Styela clava: one gene and its partner. The protein of the gene in region 1 interacts with the protein of each later gene in a pairwise test. Links are inferred from orthologs where the notes say so. Each region holds a gene or a part of one and is shown on either strand. Other genes may lie near its edges.

The links.
Region 2: the proteins of NEDD4-like E3 ubiquitin-protein ligase WWP1 (region 1) and ubiquitin-conjugating enzyme E2-18 kDa-like interact in binary tests that used the Caenorhabditis elegans proteins (3 or more experiments, as listed by UniProt). The link is inferred for Styela clava from reciprocal best matches to the Caenorhabditis elegans genes wwp-1 and ubc-18.

What each region holds. Positions count from the first base shown.
Region 1 is NC_135262.1:268,061-278,761, reverse strand, and holds the start of NEDD4-like E3 ubiquitin-protein ligase WWP1, read left to right. Parts: upstream 1-6,573; 5' UTR 6,574-6,759; intron 6,760-7,541; exon of another isoform or gene 7,542-7,688; 5' UTR 7,689-9,096; coding exon 9,097-9,145; intron 9,146-9,764; coding exon 9,765-9,915; intron 9,916-10,701. UniProt on the Caenorhabditis elegans protein: E3 ubiquitin-protein ligase which accepts ubiquitin from an E2 ubiquitin-conjugating enzyme in the form of a thioester and then directly transfers the ubiquitin to targeted substrates. Ubiquitinates klf-1.
Region 2 is NC_135253.1:6,114,183-6,124,174, forward strand, and holds ubiquitin-conjugating enzyme E2-18 kDa-like, read right to left. Parts: upstream 5,232-9,992; 5' UTR 5,100-5,231; coding exon 5,073-5,099; intron 4,435-5,072; coding exon 4,342-4,434; intron 4,264-4,341; coding exon 4,077-4,263; intron 3,177-4,076; coding exon 3,022-3,176; 3' UTR 2,202-3,021; downstream 1-2,201. Other genes in the region: uncharacterized protein LOC120326413, read left to right, coding at 185-1,080, 1,539-1,629. UniProt on the Caenorhabditis elegans protein: Ubiquitin-conjugating enzyme E2. Accepts ubiquitin from the E1 complex and catalyzes its covalent attachment to other proteins. Required for diet restriction-mediated lifespan extension, probably acting as part of a complex with ubiquitin-protein ligase wwp-1.

The DNA of each region.
Region 1 (10,701 bases):
TTGATTAGACTGAAAGTACGATAGCCTACTACCTTCTGTACTATTATTGTACGTGGATCTTACTGGATATACTATCTGCATACCTACCTAATTTCACCTTGCAATCAATCACACTACTGCACTAACGTTACTTCAAGATGAACAAGGAAGTCCAAACCCAGATTCTGGCAGCTATCTCATCTCTCCAGGCCAAGCAAGAGGAGCTAATGTCACATGCAACTCTATTATCTGCCTCTAAAGACCATGGCAACCAGTCCCAGGACATCATTAAGTTCCAGAATGACGTGGCTCAAATCTCCTCCAAGATCCAGGAGATTATTAGCAGGCTGGAGACTTGTGAAAAGCAACAGGACGATTTAGAACAATACAGCCGAAGAAACTGTGTGATTCTCCATGGCTGTAGTTCTGTGCCAGAAACTGAATACCATAAGTTCGAAGACTTTGTAGTGAAAACTCTCAACGACAGCCTTAAACCCAACCATCCTATTGTGAACACTGACATTGATATTACTCACAAATTAAAATCAAGATCTCCGAAGAACCCCATCATCATCATATTCGTCAGAAGATCAACGAAGAATATGGTGTATGGTAGAAAAAAAGAACTCAAAGGCAGCGGATTGTCCATCACTGAGTCCTTGACCCGTAGCAGGCTCAAGCTACTCAGCGCTGCCAAGGAAGCCTTCGGAAAACAAAAAGTGAGCACAATGAATGGGATTATCTACGCTTACCTAGATAAAAGGCGAGTAATATCTTCCTCAAATGATATCACTACTCTCTCTCGTCCCCTCTACTCCAAGGCTGCTGCCCGTTCAGTGGGACCAACCTCAAGACGTAGCGGTAGCCTATGAGCGGAGGGGAACGATTAACTCATTCATAATCTCCATTTTTCTTATTTGAATAGGCTAGTGCTGTCTAATCAATGGTTCTCCATCTTTTAAACATCTGGAAACCTATATAGCCAGACTAGATATTTAACTTATTTTTTTTCATTTTTATTTTTTACTTTTATTTTGTTGTGCCACTGCCATGAAAACTAATTTAAAATACCCATGTAGAAATTGCCACAAATCAGTTCGAATCAATCAAAAAGCTCTTTATTGTGACATTTGTTCTTCTTGGATACATTTAAAATGTACCAATATTTCTGGACAAAAATATGAAAATCTTGAATCTGAAGCTGATGAAATACCTTGGTGCTGTTTCCTTTGTGAAATAGACTGTATGCCATTCTCTTGTCTCTCTGATTCTGAAATATCTGAGTTATTTGTTCCCCTTCATACAGAAAAAGCTGAAGCCCAGGCACTTGCCAAAATTCTTGATCCTGAATACCTTAAGAAAATGTTTCTTGAATCAGCAAATACTGATACTGATGAATTCAACAACATTGATAGTGTTTTCTTGTACAATTGCTCAAATCAATATATCTGCTCCAGTGATGTCAATGCCCTTAAATTCAACGACAGCCTTAAACTAAGTGGTTTCATGACTCTCTCCATCAATATCAGATCTTTAGCCTCTTTCAAAAACTTCACAAAATTTGAAGCACTAGTTAATTCACTGAATTGTAAGCCTCATGTAATTGCTGTAAATGAAACATGGATTGTATCTGGTACAAATGGCCATTTCAATGCACTGGATGGCTATGTTTTTATCTCTAATAGTAGATCTCATCACCGAGGTGGTGGTGTTGGTCTCTACATTCGAAATGATTTGAAATACATTGTCCGCAAAGATATTACTATAATGTGCGAAAAGGTTTTTGAATCTATATTCATTGACATATCATTGGAAAATAAAACAATAACCTGCGGTACTATTTATAGATCACCACTAAATGATGAATTGAACAATGCTAACTTTCGGAATCTCTTGTCCCAAGTTCTCTCAAAGATGAACAGGTTGAATTATAATTATATAATGGGTGACTTCAACTATAATCTTATTGATGAGTCCAATATGAATACCAGCCTATTTGTTGATATTATGCACAACCTGGCCTATTATTCTTTGATAAACTGCCCCACCAGGATAACTTCAAGTTCTGCTACCTGTATAGACCATATCTGGACAAACGTATATGATAAAAAAATTAACAGTGCTGTTTTAGCAGAATGTGTTTCTGATCATCTGCCGATTGTACAATGCTCTCTTCTAGAAAAGCAAATTCAGACCAGAATTAAAACGCTTTATCGCCAGTTTACTTCGTCCAACTTGAATACGTTTAAGAATGAACTGAATTCTATTGATATTGATGACTTCAGCAGCATCCAGGATCCCAACACTTGCTTTGAAAATTTTTTTGAAAAATTCTCCACTGCTTACTCTCAATCTTTTCCTTACAAAAAACAGACAAACAGATCAAACAAACCTTGGTATGATACTGAGTTACGCAAACTCAACAAAGTCAAACAAAAACTTTATAAGAAATTAATAAACAATAAAAACATAAATGACAAGCACAAATTACAGTTCAATGAATGCAGGAACCTTTATACTCGATTGCTCCACAAAAAGAAATCGAATTATTACAAATCTAAATTTGCTTCTCACAAAGGCAACATCAAGGCAGTGTGGAAAACAATTAATGAGCTTATTGGTAAAAATAAAACAAATTCTTGTCCTTTGATTGGACTTGATTGCAGTAATACACAAACTGCAAATAAATTTAATGAACACTTTTCCCAAGTGGCACAAAGCCTGCTTGACACTGTATGCCACAACCAGCTGGCTGTGACAAAAATTACATTTCATATCTTGGGAAGCAAGAATCCTCATCCATGTTCTTAAGGCCAGCTACATCATTAGAAATAAAAAATATTATACGCGATATGAAGCCCAAGTCAAGTTTTGGAATCGATGGTATTCCATTTAAAATATTGAAATATGTTCCAGAACATATTATTGATATCCTGACATATATATTTAATCTTTCACTATCTAGTGGATTATTCATTGAAAGCTTCAAGACATCCAAAGTTCTTCCTCTGTTTAAAAAAGGTAGTGTTTCAGATCTTGGAAACTATAGACCTATTAGTCTTTTACCATCATTTTCTAAGATTCTTGAAAAAATAATGTATAGTAGAATGTCAAACTACTTTGAAACTAACAATGTTTTCCACTCGCATCAATTTGGTTTCCGCAAGCATCACTCCACTGCTATGGCTGCTAATGTTTTGGTACACAAACTGACCAATGCGTTTGAATGCAAACAACATGCAATTGGAATATTTCTTGATATCTCAAAAGCTTTTGACACCATTGACCATTCCATCCTCTTAAGTAAGCTCTATCACTATGGAATTAGAGGCGTTCCATTCAATTGGATCAAGAGCTACCTTCAAGACAGGAAGCAAATTGTGCAATATGACAACTCATTCTCTACAAATATTTGTGTCATGAAGCACGGAGTTCCACAAGGATCTTTACTTGGCCCATTATTTTTTCTAGCTTACATTAATGACATGTCCAGGTGTCTGAAATCCTCTGAGTCGATCATGTTTGCTGATGACACTAACTTGATTCTTCATGGGGAAAACCTTGAAGATCTATTCACAGTTGCAAACCAAGAACTAACCAACATTCATAGCTGGATGTTAGTTAATAAATTATCTCTGAATGCTAACAAAACTAAATTTGTATTATTCCATCCAAGCAAGCATAAAAGTGTGAGTTGTTCAAAAAAACTACTGCTCAATGGCAATGAAATTGAAAGAGTGAAAGAAATAAAATTTCTAGGAGTTATCTTTGATGAAAATCTGTCATGGAAATCACAAATAATGCATGTTATTGGTAAAACAAAAAGAAACCTAGCAGTTTCTGCCAAAGTATCCCAGTGTGTTGATCAATCAGCTCTACTAGCAATGTTTCAATCATTACTACTTAGCCATATTCGATATTGTTGTTCAGTCTGGCTTCATGGTAATAAAACACTTGTCTCAAAACTGCAGAGTATTTGTAATAATTTTTTAAGAATAGTTTTTGGTAAAAGAAAACATGAAAGTGTAGACTCTTACTTCAAATCACTAAATATACTTAAGGTTGAAGATATGATGAAATTTGAAATACTATCTCTAGCTCACGACTTCCATAATAATGCGCTGCCCAATTGCTTTAATGACATACTTGTCAAAAATACCTCCAACCGAAGAAGTAGTTCTGATTTATTCGTACCTTTCATGAGTAAATCCGTGAGTCAGCATTCCTTGTCTTTTACTGGACCCAAACTTTGGAATTCTCTTCCCTTAAATTTGAAGACGTTTAAGTCCAAAAAATCTTTTCAAAAACAAGTCAAGTCTCATTTAGTTTCCAAATATTAAATATTAAAAATTACTACTGGTGGTATTCGATGACAAAAACTTGGGACACTCCACACTTGCACATTATTGTTTTAATGAAAATGTTGAACAGCTATAATAATATTGTGCCACGACTATAATAATATCTTGCCACGACTTGGCCAGAACTAGTCCAGCACCAAAGAAATGGTATTGTGACATGCATGAGTATATATATATTTTTTTAAATATATAGGTAGCTAACGTACTCGGATGATATTTTCTTTAAATAACTGCACACATTCTATCACTTCACGCTCGTGTTTTTATCTTTTTCTAGCTGTGATGTCCCTATCATACACGCTTGGTCTTATGTTTGAGTGGTGGTATAAGGGTTGTAGATAGTACAATATTGTTCCTGCAAGGTTACTAATTATTGCAACTAGGCGAGCAGTAGAGCTATGTTGGATTCTCCCCTTCAGATTTTAATTTGCTGTGGGTCATTGTAATTGGATGTGGTTTTTATATCATTTATGTATGCATGCGTTTTATGTTAAGGCATGGTGTTTGAGTTGACTTGTTGGCCAAGGTATAGATAGTAAAATTTTGTGTGTTTTTTGCATGGTGTGATAAATTTTTCTCTGTCCCAAGCAGAATGTCATCATAGATCATCTATCCATCGCTATATAATGACAATACATCCCATTTAATTAAACAATTATTTTTTGCCTGTAATAAATAGTTCAGAGCGTTCCCCTTCACCCAATCATTGAAACATCTACTCGCAGTTTTATTTTTTGTTTTTCAGGTTACTTCAAAGTGATTAAATGAAGTAAAACACATACGGAAAAAAACAAAAAAAGACTCCCGATATCCTGTGAAATAACAACCTCATTCCCATATCCTTGTCTGAAATCAATACCCAAGAATGAAAAACCTCACTTAGACCCTTTGTAACCAATTTATTTCCACATCCTACTTTACTTAATTATAGTAATTTTACTGTTACCGGTAACTTAATTACTTATTACAATCTGGACTATAATTTGGCAATAATAGGCTCTAATTTGGGGAATGAAATGGTCTCGCCCACCTCTTCATGCACCCAATTCTGGCAACTTTGGTTGGGCAACTTGGCATTTGACTCCAACTATAATCAGCTTGGCAATATGTTTTCAATAGAATCTTCCTTTTATATACCTAATCAACGATTAGAAGATCGATCAATTTGGCAATGGCAACCATTACAAAAATATCAATATGGTGTGGCAGATAATTTTCTTTTCTAGTATTTTTTATTTTTTTTTTGTTTACTGTATAGTATACCCTAAATTTATCGCGTTTCATTCTTACTTAAATAACTTCTCAGTGGTTGTGTGTGTGTGTGGCTGGTGTGTGCATGTGAGCGTGTGTGAAATAACTTGATAATTTTAGGTGAGTAAACACGTACCACTTCCTCTTGGCAAAACCTTTCATCTTATATTTTGTACGTTATAAACCTTATCTAAGGTTTTGTTTGCTCCCCTGATTTCATAATCAGATTTTATTTATTTGTTTTTATCTGTCAAATGTATTGTTATGCTGATTATGGAGTCGAAATAAACTTATACTTATACTTATACCCTTCGGTACGAGTTAAATATGAAAATCTATCGTATCGTAATTCCAGAATTATGTAGATGAATACAATTCTCGTGACTTTAGCAAGCAACTAACAGCGGGAAAGTTGTTGTCGTGCTATTTGGCTTGATTGACAAAATGTATTTAGCTTGGTGGACAGAATCATTTAGAAATTTGACAAGCAGTTATGCGCTAATCGCTTCTGGAATGATAAAGGGCTGAATGGCGTGAAGAATAGGTTCCCCCTCAAGTTTCATGCACTGTTTCCACCCCCATTGGAGATTAGCGGGACACCTCGTTTTTATAAGGCTGTTCACGTGACTGCGGCCAGTTGGGGCTTTCTTGACCATGAAGTCCACCACGCATCTAAAACTGATTAACTTTTCACATGCCAAAAATGACGGGTAACAGGCGCCCTTTTCCGTTTTATGATTGAGATGCGTTAACGGCTTTCCTGTCGCTGTTGGATAGCACGGTCTATCGCCCGGGTCTCGCCCTAAAATTGAGCCGTTTTATCACCTTTCCTTTCCATAGAATGAGAATATTATTCAAAGATATTAACAAGTAAACCACTTTCTGAAATTTCGTCATGCGCTAATGATTCAATTTATTCATGTGACCGACGTCATAAAGCAAACTTGTCAGCTGGGGAGCGATGCCAATTTCTTACGAAACAGTGAAAGGTTGGAAGCGGGGGCTTGTTTTTGTAAAAAAGATCACAAATTAATGTGTTTTTATACATTTGTGAGGTTAAACATGAATGGTATCTACTAATTTTCCGCATTTATTGTGTATGTTATGTAAATAAAAGACATGAGCTAACCATGTAACCGGAACAGGATGTTGTCATATTTACGCACAGGTAATCGTATGATTGTCTTTTCACTTTTAACTTTCCTGACTTTCATTGTTTGGTTTTGAGTTCTGCCCTGTTTCAGCTCATTTCTGTTAAGTGGATAAAAACTATTCAAGATTTTTAGCAATATTTCATAAAAATACGGTACCTGTACTGTAATCCGGGATAAATATGTAAATCCTATCCTAATACCGGTGCAGTACGGTGATCAGATAATGCTGTAATGTGACACAGCCAGACAGCGGGTCTGCCTGTAGACGGTGTAGAAGTCAGACTTCAGGACGTTAATAGAACATTGCACAGGACAGTTGACTGACATAATTATGATATTAAATTGAATGAAGCAGAAATTCATTTGGTTTATGATAAGTCTATTGATAATAAAAAGCACAGCTCAGACAGCTCGGAATCTGAAAATCTCGTTTTTAGGTTTTATGACATAACAGAAATTTATTTATGCATTAAGATTTGTCAGTCAGTAGTAGTAGTTTGCTATCGAGAGAGAGATTAATTATTTGTCAACAATAAAAAACATAAATACATAAATATGATGATAATAATAATAAATATAAAGCAGTAGAAACAACGTTTCTCGGTATGAATTGGCTGACTGGAGCAAGCGATACGACCATGCGGTCATCAGAGTCAGCTCTCTCCATGTTCGCCCCAATTGAAATAAGTTCACAGTAAAAATATTTATTAATATAAAGTGGTTATAAATTCTAGAATTCTACGTGTAGCTATTTGTAACCCTGAATATAAATTTTTTATTTTTTTTTTAATTCTACTAGCTTTTCTCTTTTTCCTTTCTACGCCAAAATTGATCAAGACAAGAGTTAAGATAAATATTACAGTATGGCACAATTTACAGATCGAGCAACATTTCAGTTTCAGAAGATTCCATTTTACCGATGAATACTGACCCTTCCTTTCAGGAACGTCGGACTCCTTCTTTCAGGAATGTCAGACCTTCCCTTTCGGGAACAAACTATAAAGAAACGCAACTTCAAACCACCACCATTGGATTTCTCGGAAATAACAATCTGATCTACTGAAGGAAAAAAAAATTACCGAAGCGTTTGAGAGAAATGCAAAAACTATAGGCGTGTAACCGAGCTCCGATGATGTCACCGAATTTTAATTGACGCATCCAATCTCATATCTGGCTTCCATCGTTGCACAACCTTGGCTTGGCTTGTTCCTCGTGTCTACGAGCTTTTATTTTCATTATAGACAGGATGACATGTTTATGATAACACATAGATGAGAGATAATAAAAATTACATTTTGATCAACACAATATAGGCTCTTATCACATGAAATAAACATAATAAAAGATATATACTACTGCAATATGTGACGCTCAGGTTAAAAATTACTCAGGTCAACAATATATCATACATCAAAACGAAGCACGAAATCAATGATATGTTCGTCAGTCTGTCCATACATGATAACAATTGAACAATGCATCTTTGGGTTTTTTTCATGATAGAAACTCACAACGGATTATGATACCATCTGTCATGGCGATTTTTATTTAAATTTTGACACGAACAATCTATACTAAAATATCAAAGTGAATGCCTCGATGCGAGAGTCGTTCTGTATGTGACATTCTGTGATGTATATCCAGGCACGCATTAAGCTTTCTGCACACTCAAAGCCCCCTGTTTTAAAGACGTGCATGCATTTTACATCTCACGCATTAAGCTTTCTGCCCACTCGAAGCCCCCTGTTTTAAAGACGTATATGCATTTTACATCTCACGCAATAAGCTTTCTGCCCACCCGAAGCCCCCTGTTTTAAAGACGTACATGCATTTTACATCTCACGCATTAAGCATTCTGCCCACTCGAAGCCCCCTGTTTTAAAGACGTGCATGCATTTTTTGATGTTCCAATTTATAGCCGCTATTCTGGAATCAGAGAACTATGTTTAACCATAATATGGCAACCCACGTTAATGTTGGGTATAGGATTAGTTAGCTAGTTATTTGTTTCATACTCATGGACTTGATGGCAACAGAAGTCGTAACCGTATGTGAACCACCCTACGACGGTGAGGAGTCCAGCAATCCTCTGCAGACGTAATCATCCCCCGAGAGATTTGGACCTGAGAAATCACACATGTAGACAGTGAATGTATTCCTAATGGTCAGCACAACATACTATATTTTCAGTCTGTATTTTCTTTGCTCTTTTCAATTAACTTCATGGTTTTACAGATAACTTAATTAAGTGGGATAAATCTAAAATATGTAAGATACCAAAATGAATGAAACACCAGGCTGAAAACAACCACAGTATCAGAGGTGTTGTGACATCATAATAAACAATAACTATGCAGACTAATGGACCTCAAGCGTCACTTTCACAACTTCAAGTGACAGGTATGATTGATTTTTTTAAATTTTTTTGTTATATTTTTTATATCTAAGGCATGCTTTCAAACACTCAGTACGAAGCAGAGCTGGGGAACTGGTTCGAAATTACTGGCTTTAGTTCCGAAATCAAGAGTATTTGTAGAATATACTTATACCCAATTTCTGGAATTATTCAACTCTGAAACTTAGTGAATGTTGTTGTTGCATGCCATCCTATTGACTGACTTGTAAAAATAAATTTTGGGTTGAAGCATCTCTGTGGAAATTATGAACCTTTTTTTAAACTGTGTCTTTTCTGACTGATTTCAGTGTTTGATGTTAGCAAACATTTGTAGGTGACTGTGGTCTACCGATATCCGTATTTCGAGCGATGTACCACCTGATATTAAATCTTTATTTACTCTGGCATTTTAATATTACAAGTGAAATACAAAAATCGAATATTTCAAATTTTTTTTATGTGCATTCATTAAAATTGCATCTGGTAAAGCCTTCATTACTCCTACTTCTACATATTCAGGAGTTGTTTTTGTGTATGGGCGCAGAGTCTTCTGTTGTCAAAAATGATTCCTACCCCCACTCCCCCTCTAACCAACTTGTACTATTCATTATTTAAAATTTTCAGTGAAAAGCGGGGTCCTTCATCCAAAAGGATGGTTTGGTACGATCAAAGTAGTGGATTCGTACGTTACTGTACGTCTCGATGGGGAACCTCCCAAGAAAACACAGATCATCAGTAAATCTAACAATCCACAATGGAATGAACCGTTTACCTTGTAAGTATGCCTATATCCAAAAACTCATTTTATTTTATGAAAGAAACTCTAGAGGCCACGTTTATGCAGCTAGAGCTGATGAAATACAAGTAAAAAATAGACATATTCTCTGGTCTAGATCAGTGTATCCCAACCTATGAGTCGCCTGAAAATTTTCTCGCTTCGTTTGTATTTTCTACAAAAACCTAGAAGTTACTGCTTTTATTTTCTAGTGAATTTTATTGTTTATTTTATTTTTTCATTGAAGTGTTGCTCGATAGTAATTGTATATGGAGAAATTTCACATCATGTGCTGTTATTAGTCGGTCAAATAATTTAGTGACAGATGAAAGCATAAGCATTATACACGGCCTAGTATTTAAGCATATTCATGAGTTGTGAGATTTTATGGAATTTTCAAAAATTTGACTTGCCTGAAAAAAACTTAGGAACCAGGATTCCATGGAATCCTATAGTTCCTATATCCTATAGTGGAATCCTATCCCGCGAAACACTTATTGTGAAAGTTTCTTGTGTATGGGTGGACGCATTTATGTGTGTCAATTTTTCAAACCTTTTTATATGTTTTGCATCAACAATAATTAGGAATAAAAACACAAGTCTTGTGAGTAGTGTGTCTGAGACCATAAGGATTGCATTGTGCAACATGAAGCCACGAGGTTAAAATGCTTGGGAGAGAAATCCAAGAGCAGGAGGGTCATTTCTTGCATTTTATCATGTTGGGGCGTCCAACACCGAAATATTTGACTTCATAATAGATATTGGTGTTTTTTATAAAAGGGGATC
Region 2 (9,992 bases), on another chromosome or scaffold:
TTGTAGTTGAGATTATTGCAACTCAAACGCATTTCATCTTGCCCGGGTTCTTACTGACTTAGCTTTTGGATTAATAAACCAAAGGTTAAAAAGAGACACTGATCTAGGGATAACTCATATATCTGTAATGCTAATGCATTTATTCCTAAATTTGAAGGAAAAATACCTATAAAAATATCAGGACATGGCTACGAAAGCGTCCAGTGATGATGGTATGGAATACAGAGAAATGATGGCAAAATTAGCGAAACGTATTGATGATGGAACTTTGGAGAAATTGAAATATCAATGCAGAGATTTAATTGGTCCTGGTCGACTTGAAAAGGTCGCGAATGCTCAAGGCTTGTTTGAAGTTCTAGAAGAGAGGGATGAACTGAGTTGCGATAACTTGGAATTTTTAAATAAAATATTGAATTACGTTGGCAGATTGGATTTGTGCAAAATTATTACATCTTATACTGACTATATAGCTGCCCTCAATGACAGTGTTACAGATCTATATCCAACTGCAGCTCCGTTTAATAGCAATGAAGGTGATACGAGTGTTCCTGAACATTCAAACACTACTTCGTCAAAAATATTCCACCCCGATGGTGAAAAAGGACCCCAAAAGACTGATATTTCTCATGGTACATACAGCGCCGTCAATGAAAGACAGAATTGTACAAGACCTTTTGATACATCTTCAAATGTTCCCCAACACCAGCAGCCCAGTTCGAATCACAATCAAATGACTGGTAATCGTAATCAGTCAAATACTCACCAAGCAGCCCTAAGGATGGGTAATCGTAATCAGTCAAACACTCACCAGACAGACCCAATGATGGATAATCGTAATCAGTCAAACACTCACCAGGCAGACCCAATGATGGGTAATCGTAGTCAGTTAAACCCAATAGGTCATGCCATTCCTCCTCAAGTGGAAACTGCTCTTGAACTGGTAATTAGTTCGATAGCTAGGGGATGGCAGAGTGCAGCCAGGCATCTCGGTGTCCCCGATGTTATCATAGATAGTGCTCAAGACAATTGGCCCAGGAATGTAAGAAATCAAATAAGAGAAGCTTTCACATATTGGGCGAGGTAAATATATATGCAGTAATGCACACAACATTAATTTTTAAATCAATAGCTCTTAGACAGCCATTAGATACATTATAATGTATACATACAAAGTGCAGGAAAATCAATGTAAAATTATTGGAGTCATAGGTAGAAGATTATACATTTTTGATAATTTTGATTTAATATCATTTGCTTTCAGAAAAAATCCTTTTTTACTTTCGATTTGAAAATTACATTTAAGACCTACCATTTTTGATATAAGTTATGCCACTGATGATGACATGCAGTTGTCCAAATTCTTGTGATGAAAGGAAACTGAAAAAGGTGCATATCCACAAACTTTTGAGTAAAAGCTACTGTGTTACTGTAATTTCTTATTCCATTATGAGGGATTTTATTTTACTACCATATATGTATTATATAACTGCCATGGAGTAATTTACACGACTGAGAATAACGACTTTTATTTTCGACAGATCTGATGACGAGGCATCTGTTGCTAAATTAATTGAGGCAATGAGACGTTCTGGAAGGAATGATATAGCAGATGACTTGCAGTATGGCTGAAATGAATTCTTCAAATTTAACTATATACACTGTTCTATGTCTATTTTTTCTGTAAATCAAAGTGCAAGCAATGAAAAAAAGCAGAATCTGGAACTGGGTTTGAGCTGGGCCCAATCGTGGCATGAGCCCACAGACTATATCCTACTAAGGTAGTAAATTGATCTCAAATACACCCATCTCATACAACTGTATCAATAATATAGACACAGGAGATTTTTTTCATTCAAAAATCTTGCATGTGTATTTGTTTAAATTTGGTTTAGTGGAGTGTGTTGTTGATTTCAGCATATTGATTGAAAGCTTTGCACTTTTTGAATTTTTTTACAATGAATTTTGATTGCGATATTATAATCCTATTTCATGATTGTCCTTGTCAACTATAGAGTTCTCTTCACAACAGCATATGATTATCTAATCAAGCCTTGCATTACATGACAAATAACGGGTCATGGAATCGAATTATCTCAATACTATCCTGTGGATTGCAGTCTCACTGCTTAATAAAATAGGCTTCTCTGCCACAATGCAAACACATGAACATGTCAACACTGCTGTCCCGTAAAAAATCTTCATATTCTCGTCTAATAAAAAGTTTATTTTAATGCTTTAGAGAGAGTATTTCATCATATTCACCCAAGCGGAATAGGAAAATATGTCTTTTTCTTGAATTATTCATAGTCACCTGACTCGCCGTAAACACAGAAAGTTTCAATGTAGGAAAGTTATATTACTACAATGAGCAAGAAAAAAAAATTACTGAAGCAAGAGAACAATCACAGAATAGGGCTAGGATCAAATCATTGTAAAATATGCATAATAAAATTGTACGATTTTGGTTTTGTATGATGTTCTTGATATTTTAAACTCCAAGATAGTGATTTTCAGGAAGTATAATGTGGTTACACAGATTGTCAATTTAATACGGTAGAACCAATCATTCGACAAAGCTGTGCTGTTCAGATCAAAATGTGTAGTAACCTAATCCATCGAGCTTAAGGGTTTTGCGGGCTCGTTCATTTATCAGAACTCAATTTGACTAAATCTTTTGCTTCAAATGATCGAGTATAAAAACAAATGAAAATTCCAAATTACCTATGCAAAGCTGAAATGTAGGATTACCCCATACATGGGTCTGATATACAAAATGGAATTGAAACGCACGACTATTACATACTAAACTTTCTTTGAGATAAAGAAACAAAAGGTAAATTTAGGTGACTTTGTGATCCTTCTAACCCTACTGGTTGGTATTTGGATAGTGATGAAAGCTCATAAGTTAAAAATAAGAGTATATCAAGCAAATGTACAAAACACATCATTAAGGACTAATTGAAATCTATTAGCCAGTCTGAACATTACTGGAATCAAAAGTGCTTAGATTTTCTTACAATATTAACATGACGGCCGCTTTTCGGCATTATTCTTTGTATGAGCTTCCGCATTTTTATTAAATTTCTTTCGATCTTTCGTGTACTCTTCAGCAAGCTCTCCTCTCAGTGGGTGCTCTGGCTCTGGGTGTTCAATCATGTGAAGCAGAGCTTGCAGAACTGAAGGAAATGCATAAGCCAATCATAAATATTCAAGGCATATAATTAAATTTCCCTATTTTGTTATTGTAATACCAAGTTATGAGTTAGACACCCAATCATAGTCTGAGAGGGACCAGAGCACTATAAGCTGTTGGAGAAAAGTTTAACACTCCTGCGTTGTTATATTACATGTGGGCCACCGTTTAGAGGAATGATTTTGTTCGACTAAATAAAGTTAGGTACGAATATTATATCAACATCATGGCTGCTACTTTTAAAATCGTTGACGCAAACGGTACTAGAGCATATTTAACTATCATTTATCAGGTGTATGAATTTTAGAGGTCAAACGAACTGTTACGAAAATTAAATTTTCTGATATTCGATGAATCCATTGAATTTTTTTTTTCTACCAACTTTATTCGATCTTTAGTCCATTGATAATATTAAATCAATTTATTTTGTAGTCATTCTTAGTTTATGAAATGTTAACAATAATATAATATTGTACACAGGAGCGTAGCCAGGTGGTCCGGCCAGAAAACATTCATTTTCCAAAATCTTGAGGGTCTATAAAAATTGCTATGTAAAGGGGGGGGGGGGGAATTTGAGTGGAAGCTTTCTGCCCAGATACAAATTCTACCACTAACCAACAATTTTATTGGCAAGTTAACAAATGTATTTAGTTTGATAAAAATATAATACAGTAATAGGTGATAGTAAATGAAACAAATTTTGAAACAACATAAATCTGCCAAATATACTGACATCTCTTTTACACAATGAATTTCTATGCAATTAGATAACATGATGAAACAATATCTGTAGCAGGAAATGCAGTTGTGAAATTCAAGCAAAATTCTGCTTGATGAATTAGCCAGAACGCCTTTGAATTTTTATGGCAATATAACAACTTACCCTGTGCAGTTTTTGTTGCTGGTTTCCAGTGTTCTGGGCTGATTATAGGAAGACATATTTGACCTTTCTCATCAACATTGGGGTGGTAGATGCTTGTTTTGAATGTTATTTTTGGTGGTTTAAATGGGTATGATGATGGAAAATTGATTTCTATCTTGAAAGCCCCTTTATTGTATGGACTTTGGTCCTAAAAATACAATTTAAAATGTTTTCAACTGTTACTTTTTAAATCTAATAAACAAGTACTGTAAAATATTAAATATACCGGCAGAAGAAGGATCCTCCAAAGTAAGGCGTTTGAATCGTCTAATTTTACTTCAAGCCTTTTGTCTTTGTCACTGTTAATATCTTGATATTCCTGAAAATCAAGATGTCAACAAGTTTTTTTATGTGCCGCACAAATTGAATAGCTGAGTAATGCTCAATTTGAATGATGAACAAAAAATACATTAACTTGTGATTAATCAAATTAGAAACTAAGAGCCTCATAGCAAAAATTATACTGATTTGATTTTTGTAACCAACTCAATTTTTCATAAAGATGAGGGCATAAATTATACACTAATATGCTGAATATGGCTTATCAATATTAAAAATACAGTACTCCTGTAGTATGTGTACCGGGTTAGGCCATAATTTTATTCTGATTTTCCTTATTTTAGTTCTATTACGAGTTCAGGGACTGTTTGTGTTAGCAAAGTGAATATACCCCCTTGCCCATAGGCTACACAACTTGATGTAAAGTACCCAAACAAAATTTGTTACCTCCATATTGGTACACATACTTCTGTAGCGCCAAAAATACAGCATACAGAAAATTATGGAACCCTGTCATCAGGAGTCGATGAAACATACTGACATGCCATAACTCTGTTACTGGCATACAACAATTAACATTGCAATGACGTTATTACAGTCATAATCCATGTAATCACATTTCCCTGCATTAATTCAGACAAAGGCTGAATAATTACACTTTTGAAATATTATACTCACTTTTGCTAATCTTTTTGATGCAGACATTTTGCTGAATGTCAGACTATAGCAATTAACTTTAATCTAGGCTATATTCCTGTATTCTAGAGTAGGAGGTATATCTAAAATAGAATTTCCATATTTATCCCGGGGAGAGTAAAGCCGATAAGACGGATTATTCATATGGCAAACCACGGTCTCTCAACCAGTTTCCAGCCCATGTTGGGTACCGGTACCGGTATGGGGGTTAGGCTGGTTAGCCAATTACGGTACCTACCAGTATCTGTTTCAGACGCATGGACTTGATGATGAAGGAAGCCTAAACCGACTAGCGGTTACCGAACCGCAGTACCGGTACGTGAACCACCCTCAAGCAAGGGATTTGTACCCACGCATGATACGGTAATCAGAGGTGCGGTGGTAAGCGTGTTCCTCCTAACGCTTAGCACCGATGCGCCACTACCCCCGAGATAAATATGTGAATCTTATCCTATACCGTACATGCAAATGTTTCACTGTCTGTACTAGGAACAAACCTCCCGAAGTGACGGAACTTCCTGTGCTGAAGCTCCATTAAACGCACTAAACCAAAGCCTGAGGTACAACCGAGCTTTTTCTTTAACCTTTCACCCCAGAAAAAATCTTCTTGTCATACCATAGTTACATCATAATGATAGTTATTCGACTGTATGTTAGTCGTTGCTACTAACTGATGCCGAAATGGATGGATGTCTTTCCACAGAGAAAGATAATGATGTTGACCATCTATAGCAGTGTTTCCCAAACTTTTTTCTGCCAGCGCCCCCTTGGACGACTTTTTAACTAGCAAGCGCCCCTCCCCCCCTCCTGACAAAAAAGTCAAACAACATTATTCTCCATTTAACATTAGTATAATGTGAAGGTTTGAGCATAGCGAAATATCTGGCTCCATTTCAGTCAAAAACAGTCTTTAGTCTTGTCTGGCATTGTCAAGGGAATCTCTCTTGATATGTAAAAGTACGGTCACTGCGCGCTCTACCAAGAATGAGCTGTCACGAGCAATAAAAAAATTTCGACCAGATCTCACACGTGAGGATATTTCAATTTGATTCTGTTGCCAAAAAATAGAACAATGAAAGACTGAACATGGGTTTGAAAGTATAAACTCAATGGTAATGGTGCATGTTCGTTCGGGTTATTTAGAAACGGAAACCAAAAATTTCATAACTATTTCCAAAAAAATCATTTAGTTTTGAACTTGAACTTCTGTTTGCCTATAATTATACAGAAGTTTTGCAAAATTTTCAACCACTCACTTAGTTTTCTGCTGGAGCGCACCTTCTGCTGCCAGGACATGGAAATGAAAGGGTTCAAACGGTGTGAATACAGAACAATACGTGGGAAGGATTGATAGAGATGACCAGCGATGGTTCCAGCATGACCACCCATACATCAAATCAGACGCTTGCTGTCCTGAGAGAAAAGTCAGCAATGACATTCAGTAGGCTCCTTAATTATCGGACTGAATTCTCTCAGGTTTTGATATGTAGGGTGTTCGAAAGACAATCCATAAACGATTGGGGAACTCAAGGCTGCAATTGCAGAAATAAAATAGAGAAATACCCAGAGAAGAGTGATTGACAATGTTGCAAAAAGTAGGTAGGGAAGATGGGGCACGTTGGGACATGGGGCACAGTGGAAAATCAGCTCTCACACTAATACTATATTCGGAATCCTGTCCGCGGTTTGATGTTTCAATCCGCCCTTCGGTGAGTTACAACGTCCCCGCAAACAGACAGCGGACGGGTAGAGCGACGCAAGCTATGAGGTGAAATTGGTTTTGGGGGGTTGAAACTAAAATTTCACCGTTCCAGTTTTTTCTTTCTTCTAACTTAGCCTTTTCAACATGACAAACCACCGTCTGATATTTTTCAGCTATAGTCCACCGTGAAATATTTATAACGTTGGCGAGTGGATGGGCCTTCCGAATTTCGCCGTGGGATGATCTGAAGATATTTGTGGATTAGAGAGAGAGAGAGAGAGAGATTTATTGCCACAAAAACAAAATCAACACTAATATAAACATACTACAATAACGAAAATATTCCACAGTAATTGATTATTGCTTTGTGCGGGTCGGTGTGCAAGACCGATTAAAGTCATCTAGTGCTATATATAAGTTCATCATAGGTGAATACAAATGAGATTAAATATAAATATATAAAAAATGAATACGAGGATAAAGGGAAACGAGTCGGCAATTTAATGGTATTATGGAAGTTACTAAGGGCAATTTAGGATTTAGAGAGGTCATGTGTTGGTTGAAGCCGGAGATGTCCAATGAAAAAATTTTCACGAAAAGCATATTTTTTGTTATTGGACACAGACCGGGATCAAAAATGAATACGGAGGATGAAAAATAATATTATCACAGATTCAGTAATAGACCGAGTGCATGATGTAAAAAAATATCATTACTTGTCGATCTTGTTTATCGATCTTTGTCTGTTTGTCTGTCTGTTAGATGCAAGCGATATCTCAAGAAAGCGGGGTTTAATCTCCACCCAATCCAATTTTGCATGTGCGTTCATCATTTCACGGACCATATGGCTATTGATTTTGGTAGAGTTATGTCGTATAATTAGGGAGCTATTAATTAATTGGTGTTTGGACACACGGTGTCACTATAGAGTCATGAATCGAAACCGCAGTTTTGATCGATAAGTCTTTGGTCTCCGACCGATACTCTCGTTTGACACCTTAATTAGTTCACGATATAAAAAGGTTATTGAATTAAAAGTGGCTACCAACATTCTTAAGTATTAATACATACTTTTGAAATAGAATAGTAGGTAATATATGATCCACAGTTAAATATGAACAATTAAATATGCAATTATTATTGCAGTTAATCACTTTTTCACAATATATAAAGGTTATTAAATTAATTAACAAATGGGCTACTATCATTTATAAGTATTTATGCATACTTGGAACTAGAATATTAATATGTGATCCACAATTAAATACGCAATAACTATGCAGTTCATCAGTAATACCACAATAACTTCCAATGACATAAAAAAGGTAATTACAGTATATTAGGCAGTACTATATGGATCAAGGGAGCAAGATTTTATACTCAATTACATGGAGAAATGAAAATAACAATGAGCCAATCATAAGATAGAAATATCAATAACAATGGGTTTTAAAGTCGAACATAGAAATCATCAAATTGATGCCAATGAAAGAAAAGAGGACAGCAATTTTATTACCTATATACATACATGAGTTGGAAAAAAGGCTATGACCCTCAGTGTGCAGTGTTTATATGAAACAGTTAAATTTATAGTAATGTAGTAATTTATATAATGCAGTTTTCAACACAGTTCTAAAGGCATATTAATTAAACTACAGATATTAGGACAAGTTAGAATATTTCAGTAGGAAATATTTTTTCAGTTTCTTACTGAAAACATGCACAGAACTTTTTTTAGTTTCAGGTGGAACATTGCCCCAGACCTGTACACCCATATACTTCAAAGATGTTTTGTCCACCTCAGTGGACACTTGTGGAGTAAAGAAAACCTTGTTTCTTTGAGACCTGGTGCAGTAATTGTGCACTTTTTTTAATGGGGTGAAATAATACCGATGCATGAACTTTGCTATTTCTGGCGTATGTATATCAGACAGCTGTAGGAATTCATACTGGTAGTAGAGCTGCAAATTAGTTACACGAACTTTCTCTGCAATTGCCATACATCGTAAATCTTTATTCTGCAAAACATGAACTGGCTGTAAGGAAGACCTTGATGCTGAGCCCCAACTTAGCAGACCATATTGCAGACGTGAGTGAAATAGACTAAAATATACTAATTTAAGTGTTTTAGATTTCAAAATATGCCTTAACCTGTAAAATATTCCAAGAGTTTGCGATAATTTCTTGGATTTTGTTTGTTCTATAATGTTGCTGCCAATGCCAACTCTAAATGTGGAAATACCATACTTTTTATCACAGAACAACATAAATTTTGTTTTTGAATAATTTAGGGATAATTTGTTCGCTTTAAGCCAATTATCGACCTTCTGGAGTTCATGATTCACCACAGTTTGGAGTTCTAAACTACAGGATGCTGATTTTAGCAGAGAAGTATCATCGGCAAATAATGTCGAATGAAAAGTAGATGCCAAAGATAGATCGTTTATGTAGCATAGAAATAACAGCGGGCCAATCGTGGAACCCTGGGGTACCCCACATTCAATAAGGCCCATTTCATAGATACAATCCCCATATTGGACATATTGTTTGCGGCCACTTAAATATGATGCAATAAGATGATATGCCTTTCCTCGAATGCCATAATGATATAACTTATCTAGTAAAATTTGGTGGTTAACAGTATCAAAAGCTTTCGCAAGATCCAAAAAGATGGCACATGTGATCTTGTTATTGGCCTTATTTTCTATTATCATTTCTTTGAGCCGTGCTATGGCTAGCTCAGTTGAATAGTTGTTTCGGAAACCAAACTGGGAAAGGCTCAAAGTTTCATGTTTATCGAAATAATATTTGAGACGATGATATAAATTTTTTTCATAAATCTTGGCAATTTGTGATAGCAGGGAGATTGGCCTATAATTATTCGGATCATGCTTAGACCCTTTCTTATGGAGCGGGATCACCTTAGCTATTTTCAGTATATCTGGATACACATGATCTGTAAAACTTTGATTAAAAAGAGAGGATAAAATTGGTGATAAAACAAGCTTGGCGATTTTGAACATTTTCACTGGTATATCATCACTACCTACAGCTTTATTACTATCTAATTTATCTATTTGTTTTTCAATTTTCAGTGGTGTGGTATCACGAAGAAAAAATGATTCACTGATGCTTGGTCCAAGAGTATGCATGTGGCTGTTCACAGCTGGACTTATTTTTGACGCAAGCATTGGACCAAC